Callithrix jacchus: one gene and its partners. The protein of the gene in region 1 interacts with the protein of each later gene in a pairwise test. Links are inferred from orthologs where the notes say so. Each region holds a gene or a part of one and is shown on either strand. Other genes may lie near its edges. The genes, in order: CDC73, HSF2BP and TSGA10.

Region 1 (3,648 bases):
AATAGTTATCAACCAGGCCACGCGTGGTGGCTCACGCCTGTAATCCCAGCACTTTGGGAGGCCGAGGCAGGTGGATCACGAGGTCGAGATATCGGGACCAACCTGGTCAACATGCTGAAAGCCCGTCTCTACTAAAAATACAAAAATTTAGCTGGGCATGGTCGCGCGTGCCTGTAATAATCCCAGCTACTCAGGAGGCTGAGGCAGGAGAATTGCCTGAACCCAGGAGGCGGAGGTTGTGGTGAGCCGAGATCGCGCCATTGCACTCCAGCCTGGGCAACAAGAGCGAAACTCCGTCTCAAAACAAACAAAAAAAAAAAATAGTTTTCAACCACTATTCCCTATTGTGTTGGAATAGTGGGCCCCTGCTGTAATTAACAGAAGGGAACAGAAAAGGCAAACAGGATTACATACAAGTATTATCCATGCCATTACGTTTAAAAAACTTAGATGTAAAAACCAGATGCATGGGAAGTATAACAATGATTAATACACTCTAATGACAATATCATATTGAAAAGTTGGTAAGTACTTACTGTATTTGCCTCATAGAAGGATTGATAAGACTGTCACATGAACGATTACAGGACTGTTGTCTAAGGGATTTATAGTAACTAAAGCTCAAGTTTGAGATAATCTCCCTCTGTCCTCTACCTCCCCACACCCCCTTTTCTACTTGTAGGGACCGCGTTGTAGCCGTTTTTGTGCAAGGTCCTGCATGGCAGTTCAAAGGCTGGCCATGGCTTTTGCCTGATGGATCACCAGTTGATATATTTGCTAAAAGTAAGATTCTCTTTGTTGCTGAATGTTCTCACCTTGTTTAGAGAGTCACATGGTTCTGCACATGCGACGTGTATCTGAAAGGATTGCTGTTAAGTAGAATATACTGTGTGAGTATTTAAGCACCGGTGACGTGTTTTTAAAAGTTTGATACATTAGTACTTTCTGGATAGGTATATCTGAAAGTGAGTATTGCCTGTCCACAACATCAATAATTATTTTTAGATCACTTAAAAATCATCCATACTGTTGCATGCCCATACATTTTGATTAAAATTAATGCCAGTTTTAAATGGGTTGGCTTTTGATGAACAGAAATGTGTAAATTAAAATGCCATAATGACGTTTACCAGCTCTTCCTTTCATCTGAAATGATTGTAAGTTGACTTTTTCTCTTCATTCAGAGCTCTGCTGAAGTGTTTTCTCTTTGGTGAATCTGTCTCTGACTTTCTTCTTTCAAATAACTATCACCATCTCCCATTTGCTCTTTAAGCTTTTTTATTTTCTTGATAGCATTTACCATTCCTAGGCGTTTTCTAATTGTTATATTTTTATTCTAAGTGTTCCCTAGCTGGAATGCAAGTTTCATGATGGGAGAGTCCTCCTGTGCCTTATTTACCTTGAGTCCTCAGTACAGAAGAGTGCCTGGCACAGAGAGGCTTTCAGTAAATATCTGCTGAATGAAGCATTTCATGCGTGTTTAATGTTTATTAAACATATGAGCATAAATTGATATAACAAAAGATTAATTTCACCTGTTTATTTGCTGGAAGGGGTATTCCAACAATTCTTTAATTAATTACAGTATTCAATTAAATTAGTAACATAAGTAAAATTTATTTTAAAATGTCATTTTCATGAAAAAAGTATATTTATTAGAAGTGACAACTTTAGGCTGGGCGCCATGGCTCATGCCTGTAATCCCAGCACTTTGGGAGGCCAAGGTGGGCGGATCATGAGGTTAAGAGATCGAGACCAGGATGGCCAACATGGTGAAACCCCGTTGCTACTAAAAATACAAAAATTAGGTGGATATGGTGACTCGCGCCTGTGGTCCCAGCTACTCAGGAGGCTGAGGTGCTTGAACCTAGGAGGTGGAGGTTGCAGTGAGCTGAGATTGCACCACTGCACTCCAGCCTGGCGATAGAGCAAGACTCTGTCTCAAAAAAAAAAGTGACCTTAGTTATTATGAATGTTGATTGTACTACGAACAATCCTGTGAAATGCCCTTTGTTTTTAGCAGCCCCAGTTTTTGTTAGTGGTACCATCATTTTTCCATAGAAAGTACCCAAGCTTGAAAGTTGTAGTGTTCTTCTATTACCTTCATTCATTTAAAAAAAAAAAAAAGAATTCTATTATTACATTATGATAGCTTTTTATGTTATTTTTGAAACTTGAGTAAGGCACGGAGTTGGTAAATAGAAAGTTAAATAAAAAGAATGGGAATTTGAATCAAAGTAAAATGTCAGTGTGTATTGTTTTACCTACTTGCTTGCCTTGTTGAATAATAATATTTCAGCAAAATGATTAGAGTGTCTTCAAGATATAAATGTATGAAATTCATTAAGAATATAAAAATGTTTTTTATTATTTTGTTCAAATTGTTAGTCTTTTGAAATTTAGATAAGAATTTAGAGAATTTTCTTTTAACGGTCATCATTGATTTACTTTAATTAGTTATTCTTTCTCTTTCACCTATTCCTTCTACACTGACTCCTCTCTCAGCATTTAAGAATACTCTTTCCCCTTCCATCTTAAACAACAAAACAAAACCCTTACCCTTAACCTCATCCTTTCCCCTTGCTGCTTCTTTTTCCTTTTATAGCTTCACTTTAGAAAGAATTGTTTCTACCAACTCATTTTCTGTTCAAATCCCCTGTAGTCTGGCTCTTGCTCTGTACTAAAACTATTTTCACTAAAGTTTCCAGTGACTCAGGGTTCAGTGAATATTTTGAGCTACTGTTGAGACCTACTGCTCAGAAAGATTCCTTTCAAGATATTATTGCTGATTGATGATGTACCTACTCACAAAAGAGTTCTGATGAAGGTGTTCAAGGAGATGAATTTTGTTTTGATGACTACTAACACAGCATCTATTATTTAGCCCATAGATCAAGGAGTAATTTAGACTTTTCAAGGTTTTTTTTTTTTAAGAAATAAGATTTGAAAGGCTGTAGCTGCTATAAATTGATTCCTCTGATGGATCAGGGAAAAGTAAATTGAAACTTTCCTAGATTTACCATTCTAGATGCTATTAAGAGCATTTGTGATTAATAGGAGAAGGTCAAAATATCACCATTACCAGAAGTTTAGGAGAAGTTGATTGCTACCTTCATGGTTCATGGATGACTTTGAGGGGTTCAAGACTTCAGTAGAGGAAATAACCGAAGATAGGTTGTGGAAATAGCAAGGGAACTAGCAATAGAAGTGGAGCTTGAAGATGTGACTGAATTGCTGCACTCTCATGCTGGAACTTGAATGGATGAGGGAGGAGTTCTTTCTTACAGATGAGCAAAGAAAGTGATTTTTTGAGATAGAATTCACTCCAGTGAGCACTTTGGTGAAGATGCTGTAAACATTGTTGAAATGACAACAGAGGATTTAGAACATGACATAAATATAGTAAAGCAGCAGGGTTTGAGAAGATTGAGTCCAGTTTTAAGGAAGTTCTTCTTTAAGTAAAATGCGGTCAAATATTATCACATACTGCAGAGAAATCTTTTGTGAAAGGTAAATTCAGTAAGTGCCAGAAACTTTATTATTATCTTATTTTCAGAAATTGCTCAGCCACCCTAACATTCATCAAAGACCACACCCTATTAGTCAGCAGCCATCAACATTGAGGCATAATCCTACACCAGCAAAAAA
Region 2 (3,748 bases), on another chromosome or scaffold:
GACCATCCATCCCACGCTCCCACGCCCGCGCTGGCGCCACTCAGGCCCCACCGCGCGCGGCCAAACAGACCCGGCCCCCGCGTGGCTTTGCAGGCGAAGTCGCCTCGCGCCCAGGCCTCCACCCCGTTCCGCCGCAGCCCACGCTGTCCGGGGCCCGGTCTCCAGGCCTCCCCAAGCACGGGACAGCGGGCCGACCGCGAGCGCAGCGGGCGAGGCTCCGCGGGTGCCAGTGGCCGGGGCCTCCTCCCCGACCCAACTGACCTCCTGAGCGCCGCTCGCTTCGTCCATGGCCGCCGCCCCCTGCGCTACGTTCCTTGCGTGAAGGCGGCGACCTCTGACCCCTCACGCCAGAAAGCGCGGGAACGCGTCCACGGGGGTCGGGAACGGAGAGCCACGAGGCTCAAACCTCGCAGAACCTGAGCGGCATTCTCCGCCTGGGGGGCGAGGAGCGGCCGTGATGAGGACGCGCTTTGGCTCTTCCGGCTGAGCCCGGATTTTAAACTTGTTATCTACGAAGCAGAAGGAAAGTCAGCCCCTGCTGTAAGCGTCATGTGAAAGAAATCGGGGCCGGGCGCGGCGGCTCACGCCTGTAATCCCAGCACTTTGGGAGGCCGAGGCGGGTGGATCACGAGGTCAAGAGATCGAGACCATCCAGGTCAACACGGTGAAACCCCGTCTCTACTAAAAATACAAAAATTAGCTGGGCACGGTGGCACGTGCCTGTAATCCCAGCTACTCGGGAGGCTGAGGCAGGAGAATGGCTTGAACCCAGGAGGCAGAGGTTGCGGTGAGCCGAGATCGCGCCATTGCACTCCAGCCTGGGTAACAAGAGCGAAACTCCGTCTCAAAAAAAAAAAAAAAAAAAGAAAAAAAATCGGAGGGGTCCTTTCTGCTTGGCGGGGAGTGCTGCCCTAAGGGGGACTGCGTTGAAACGGGCAATCTTGGCTGGAAACTCGCCTCCGCGGCCCGCCTTCCCTCGCTGGGATTCAGGCGCTTTCATATTAAGGGTTGAATTTGGCCACAGGCATCTCGGGAGGTCGCCCAGATAACTGAATGGGGTTAACGTACATAACCCCCCACACACTACGTTTGGAGTCATCTAGGCCATTAACGCCTGCCGAGTCCGCAAGCTATAGGATGGCCTCGGGTTATACATGAACCCAAAGCTGATTTCTTCCCTCCCAAGCAGCCCGCCCTGCCCAGCTCCCCCGGGAAGCGCGCGTGCTCTCCAGGCCTCGGGACGCCGGCGCGGGCGCCCCTGCACTGGCACCAGGGCTCCGGGGTAGGGGCGTGCCGAGCTGCCCGAGGCTCCGCTGGCGCTGGCGAAAGGAACGCTCTCCACCCGCTCAGCAGGCCCCAGTGCCGGCCTTTCCTTCCACTCTCGACTCCACCCGGGGGGACCCGGAGGCTCCACAATTAAAAACTTCGTAGGAGAGCTGCCGGCCCAACGGGGTGTGCTAAAGGGGACTAAAGATCCTGGACCGGGCCGGGCGCGGTGGCTCACGCCTGTAATCCCAGCACTTTGGGAGGCCGAGGCGGGTGGATCACGAGCTCAAGAGAGCGAGACCATCCTGGTCAACATGGTGAAACCCCGTCTCTACCAAAAATACAAAAAATTAGCTGGGCATGCCTGTAATCCCAGCTGCTCAGGAGGCTGAGGCAGGAGAATTGCCTGAACCCAGGAGGCGGAGGTTGCGGTGAGCCGAGATCGCGCCATTGCACTCCAGCCTGGGTAACAAGAGCCAAACTCCGTCTCAAAAAGAAAAAAAAAAGATCCTGGACCGTGGCCAGGCGCGGTGGCTGCAGCCTGTACTCCCAGCGCTCAGAGAGGCCGAGGCGGGAGGATCGCTTGAGGCTAGGAGTTTGAGAGCAGCCTGGGCAACACAACGAGACCCCGTCTCTATAAAAGATGATAATAATTAGCGGGGCGTGATGGCGCGCGCCTGTAGTCTCAGCTACTCCGGCGGTCGACGTGGGAGGATCGCTTGAGTCTGGGAGGTCGAGGCTGCAGTGAGCCGAGATCGCGCCACTGCACTCCAGCATGGGCGACATAGCAAGACCTTGTGTCAAACAAATAAAAATTCCTAGACCGTTTGCCAACATCCGTCCGTCTCCTCCCGGCCAAGTCCTAACCCTGGCTAACTTCGCCGTCTACAGCCTCAATTCTGGCAATCGAAAGGCAGCGACGGAGCCAAGCACACGCGGGACAGACCGCCACGACGGCCGCCAGGGCCAGGGCCGCGCTCACTCCCAGAACGCACCACGAGCGCCGGCGCCTTTGTGACGCCATCAGCCCGCGCGTCACCGCCGCCTACTGCGCAGTCGCGGCTCGTGCGGACGGCGACGGCTCAGCGGTGCACGGTTGGCGGCAGCGGCACTGTGGGTTGCGCGGCCGGGGATGCCCCAGCGGGCGCGATGGCCCCCGCCATGCAGCCGGCCGAGATCCAGTTTGCCCAGCGGCTGGCGTCCAGCGAGAAGGGCATCCGGGACCGGGCGGTGAAGAAGCTGCGCCAGTACATCAGCGTGAAGACGCAGAGGGAGACAGGTGGGCGCACGGCGGCGGTCAGCCGCGCCACATGGCGGGCCCGGGGCAGGGGCGGCGGCGCGGAACGCGGCTTCCATGCGTTGTCGTGACACCGAGAGTGTCCTCCGGTTTCCGCGCTGCCAGAACTGCTTCTTGCTGTCTAGTGCCTTTTTACAGTTGAGGAAACAGGTTGAGGGGGTTCTGTTACTTGCGAAAGTCACGGTGAGCGGGGAAGCTGAGAAAAGACCCACATGGGGCGGATTCCCTGACCCGCATCTCGCATCACTGGGCTGCCCTGATGCAGCTCAACGGCAGTGCTGTGTGATCTGGCCACTGCCTACATCTCCAGCTTCATCTCATAACACTCTCCCCCTCCCCAGCTTACCGGCATCTGGCATCACTGCGCTGCCCTGCTGTCCCGCCGGTGATTCCCGCCTTTCTTTGACCAGCACCTTTACGTGCGGGGGCTGCAGGCGAGAAGACAAAATCCCTTCTCTGGAGGATCTGTTGGTGATAAAGCAAGGAGACAATCAGGCAAATAAAGTAGACCTCGTGTAAGTGTAGTGAAGGGAATGAAAGCCAGGTAGTACGCCGGGCATGGCGGATCATACCTGTAATCCCAGCACTTTGGGAGGCCAAGGCGGGCGGATCACCTGAGGTCAGGGGTTCGAGACCAGCTTGGCCAACTTGGTGAAACCCTGTCTCTACCAAAAATACAAAAATTAGCCAGGCGCAGTGGCGCGGGCCTGTAGCCCCAGCTTCTCGGGAGGCTGGGGAGGTAGACTTGCTTAAACCCGAGAGGGCAAGGTTGCAGTGAGCCGAGATTGCACCATTGCTCTGCAGCCTGGACGATAGAGCAAGAATTTGTCTTCTAAAAACAAAAAGAAGAAGAAGAGAGAAGAAAGAAAGAAAAACAGGTAATAGAAAAAAAAGTGAAGGAGGTTGCTCTTCGTGAGAGGCTGTTCTGAGAAGGCCTCACTGGGTGATGTTCAGCTGGGATCTGAAGAGAGATGGGCGGAAACCACCTATGCCGTGACAGGAAGGAGTGAATGCCCTCCCCTAGGAGTGGTTGAAAGACCAGTAAGCTGGGGAGGGGGAAAGTGTTATGAGATGAAGCTGGAGATGTAGGCAGTGGCCAGATCACACAGCACTGCTGTTGAAGGATTTCACTTACCTGATCCAAAAATATTTTTTGTAAACTCTTGAGTGAGCCCATATGATATG
Region 3 (3,748 bases), on another chromosome or scaffold:
TCTGAAAGTATCATCTATGAACAAAAACACAGGCCCTCACCAGACACTGATTCTACTGGCAACTTACTTTAGAATTCCTAGTCTTCAGAACTATAAGAATTAAATTAATGTTGCTTATATATTTCACTATAGCACCCTGAATGGACTAAGATATGTGCCAATAGCATTCGACTTCAAGTCCCCTGCTCTTGCTTTCCCTCTCTCAGGAACCCTTTTTACCCAGCCCTTCACATGGCTATCTTCAACTCTTTGGCTGAAATGTCAGGTCTTCCCTGACTTCTTACCTAAAGTAGCCTCTATCCCAGTCACTCTCTCAAATAAGTGATAAGCTATTTGCACTTATCACTTCTTGAAATGATATCATTTATTTGCTCACTTGTTTACTGTCTGGCTCCCCCTACTGGCATATAAAATTCAAGAGCCCTAGGCTTTTTGTCTTTTGTTATATCCCTATTGCTTTAAAAGTGCCCAGCACAAAGTTGAAACTCAGTAAAACATTTCCAAAATAAATTTTAATGATTCAAACAAAGCAGTTTCAATGATGGGTGAAAACAAGTCTGAAGAGGACTAATTTATTAATAAATGTAAACTTCTTTTAGGAAGCATGATTGTGAGAGGAAGACAGGTATAGCAAAAGGTGGAAGACGACCAAGGTTACGGAAAGGTCATTACAAAAGGAGAAAAACTTGCTCCTTAAATCTCTTTACATAAGGATCCTCTTTCAGAATTAAAGATGTATTGCCCTGAGACAAGAAAAAGCAAGGATACATGAAGATTTAGACACTCGTAATCTCAATAATCTCAGCACCTTGGGAGGCCAAGGCCAGAGAATCACTTGAGCCCAGGAATTTGAGACCAGCCTGGACAACATAGTGAGTCCCTGTCTCCACAAAAAATGAAAATGAAATTAGCCAGGCCTGGTGGCACCCGCCTGTGGTCCCAGCTACTTGGGAGGCTGAGGTAGGAGAATAACTTGAGCCCAGGAGATCAAGGTTGCAGTGAATCATAATCGCACCACTGCACTCCAGCCTGGGCAACAGAGTGAGATATTTTGGGAAACAATCAGCAAACTAAATACTGCAAGCAGCAATAAAGATTAACCTTAACAAAATGTTGAGTAAAGAAGCAAGATGTAAATGAATACTTAGTACAAATTCTATTTAGAGGAAGTTCAAAAACAAGCCAAACTATAATGTGCATGTTCACATACAATGATGTGAAACATTAAGGAAAATCAAGGAAGTGGCTATCTCTGGGGAGAGAAAGGAACATGTAATCTGAAAAGGTGATATACAGTAATACCTCTAACTGCCTCGGTGTACGGAGGACTTCAAAACCAAATTGTCCTAAACAAACTAGTCTAAGCAACTGAAAAAGAAGACAGAAAAGAGCCCCCAGTGAATCTCTACACCTGATTATATTCTGGGCTACAAGCAGTGATTTTTCTTCAGAAGGTAAACAATGCGTGAAATATTTTGGAAGCTGCCATTAAATAATGCCGAAGTTTATTATTTAAAATTAATATTTCATTAATATACCTTCCTAGTTATCACTAATTAAGACTGAAGAGTTTGGCTAATTAATCAATTAAAATACAAACAAGAATTTGTTTTATCCTGGAGGCAGATTCGAAAGAGGCATTCTACTTACATATTTATAGCTAACCTGTTTTTTTCCTACTTACAAACCGATTGTTATTCTATTTATGTCCTCACACGTAAACAAAGCATATTTGAAATGCTGAAAACCAGTAGAGAACATTTTAAACAAGGAAATTTCCTAGGATAAAAGGGACTGGAATGGAAGAAGGAAAACGCTGGGACACTGTCATCTATGCAAACTTTCCTGAAGCCTCGGGAAAAAAATGTGAAAAAATGTACTTATTTCTGTGAGTTTTTAGGTATCAAGTCCATGATCATCTAGTTATTCAATTTAAGTCTCAAATATGTTTTCAACAAAAGCCAGCTTTCCCTGCCTTTACTGTGTACAACTCTTGCTGAAATTTATCTGAGATTTCCATGCAAATGCCTACGTAATCTCGGTCTTTTACCACCCCAAGTCTAGAAATAGGCTCAGAAGTGAGCGATTGGGAGTCAGGTTTGACTCCCAAATCTATGACTTCCAAATTCCTCGCTCCACCAGAGCGTTTCTAAATAAAACAGTACCCCCAACAATCAAGCGGAAAGCTGCGGCAGGACGCAAAGCGGTGACCATAGGAACTGGGCTTCAGCCTAACTTCCCAAGAAACAGGGACAACGCGTGCTGCTGAGCTTCCGGCCCGCAGCAGTGCCCGCTGCCGCCCCTCACAGCGGCTCCCCCGGCTCCTGCCCACCTCCTCCCGCCACGGCCCACCACCCGCCACTCCCGCCCGCTTGCAGCTGGCTTTTCGGAGACCTTCCGGAGCAGGAGCAGCTCTCCCCACCCTGCGTATCTCCGCAGCTTCTACCTGGAGCTCCGGGTCCCTCCCCGAGCTCCTTGGCCCGATGTCCTCCCCAGAGCTCATCCCCGCGACTGCCACCTCTCGGCCTCCGCCGGGGATACGAGAACCGCCCCATCTCCATCCTCCGCCCCTTTTTCCTCCCTTCCCACCCCCAAATCGTCCTGGCCCCGCCCCAGCGGAGTCGGAGGAAAGAGGGAGCCTGCGCGAAGGAGGCGGGGGCGGTTAGCGCCATCCGGCGCCGCCGTGGCCCCGCCCTCACGATCTGTACCGAGTGGGGCTCGTCTTCTACCTCCCCGGCGCCCCAGCTTTGCTTCCGTCCCACGCGCCCCTAGGCTCCGTGCGCACGCGTACCTGGCTCGACCTTCCCTCTCGCGCTGGCTACAAGCCGTGTGCGCGCACCTACGCACAGAGCGACGCGTACTTCCACCTGCCTGCCTTACAAGGCGCCTTGGAGGGGCTTCTTCTTGGCCTGTTCGCGCCGCGCAGGCGCACGCCCACGCAGCGCCTAGACGCCCGACCCGAGCGTTCCGTCTCCTAGTAACCAGCCGCGAGCCCCCTTTTCCAAGATTCATTTTTTATTTCCTGCTCGTGGCGGCCGCACGTGTATAAAACGCGCATGCGCAAGGCTGTCTGTCGCCGCGCCTCCTACCTGCAGCTTGGAACACCTTCGCGGCGGTGGCTTTGTGCCACTTTTCTCAGGGCTTGGACGTCATTCTGGACTCACGTTCAGTGAACCGGTTACTCCCAGAGTTGCAGCCAGGGCCCATTTTGAGGGAGCCTTCCAGGTCCAGTCCTCCCGCTGCAGCCTGCTGGTAGCAAGCCAACCTGTCCGGGTGAGCACGGGCAGACTGCAATTAGGGGAGCCTGGGGACCACCGTCTCAGTCAGCTCTGCTCGATCTGGGCTGAATCAGAAAGTGGCAGAACTAGCAAAGAAAGTCCAGATTCCTGACCGATATTCCTTTTCCACATGCCAGTCCTTTTCCAAATTCCCTTACCTTAAAGTGGACAAATGAGCTTTTTGGTGAAAAAGAATGAGGGCTGCATTCTACCATTTTTTTGGAGCCCAGCATGGAAAAAGTCTTCTTAATATCTACCATATCCCTTCTTAAATAACCCAAGAGTTTTTGGATGATAATGGTGACTTTATCACCTTTTCCTACAGATGACGTAGATACTGGGTTTTTACAGCAATTCTCTGATGACCTTGATATGGTAGAACGCTGTGTATTTCAAAAGTAAGCTCTCATTTGAGGAGACTAACCCTGTTTTTGCCAGGTGAGTACTCATTTTTTTTTCCCCGACAAGAT

Evidence for each region.
Region 2: the proteins of CDC73 (region 1) and HSF2BP interact in binary tests that used the Homo sapiens proteins (3 or more experiments, as listed by UniProt). The link is inferred for Callithrix jacchus from reciprocal best matches to the Homo sapiens genes CDC73 and HSF2BP.
Region 3: the proteins of CDC73 (region 1) and TSGA10 interact in binary tests that used the Homo sapiens proteins (3 or more experiments, as listed by UniProt). The two-hybrid records come from large-scale screens. The link is inferred for Callithrix jacchus from reciprocal best matches to the Homo sapiens genes CDC73 and TSGA10.

Annotation. Positions count from the first base shown.
Region 1 is NC_133519.1:50,414,507-50,418,154, forward strand, and holds part of CDC73 (parafibromin), read left to right. Parts: exon of another isoform or gene 1-682; coding exon 683-783; intron 784-3,648.
Region 2 is NC_133522.1:49,329,332-49,333,079, forward strand, and holds the start of HSF2BP (heat shock factor 2-binding protein), read right to left. Parts: upstream 2,253-3,748; 5' UTR 2,091-2,252; intron 510-2,090; 5' UTR 289-509; coding exon 262-288; exon of another isoform or gene 71-261; intron 1-70. Other genes in the region: RRP1B (ribosomal RNA processing protein 1 homolog B), read left to right, coding at 2,416-2,545. UniProt on the Homo sapiens protein: Meiotic recombination factor component of recombination bridges involved in meiotic double-strand break repair.
Region 3 is NC_133515.1:8,703,602-8,707,349, forward strand, and holds the start of TSGA10 (testis-specific gene 10 protein), read right to left. Parts: upstream 2,514-3,748; 5' UTR 2,504-2,513; coding exon 2,447-2,503; exon of another isoform or gene 2,395-2,446; intron 1-2,394. UniProt on the Homo sapiens protein: Plays a role in spermatogenesis. When overexpressed, prevents nuclear localization of HIF1A.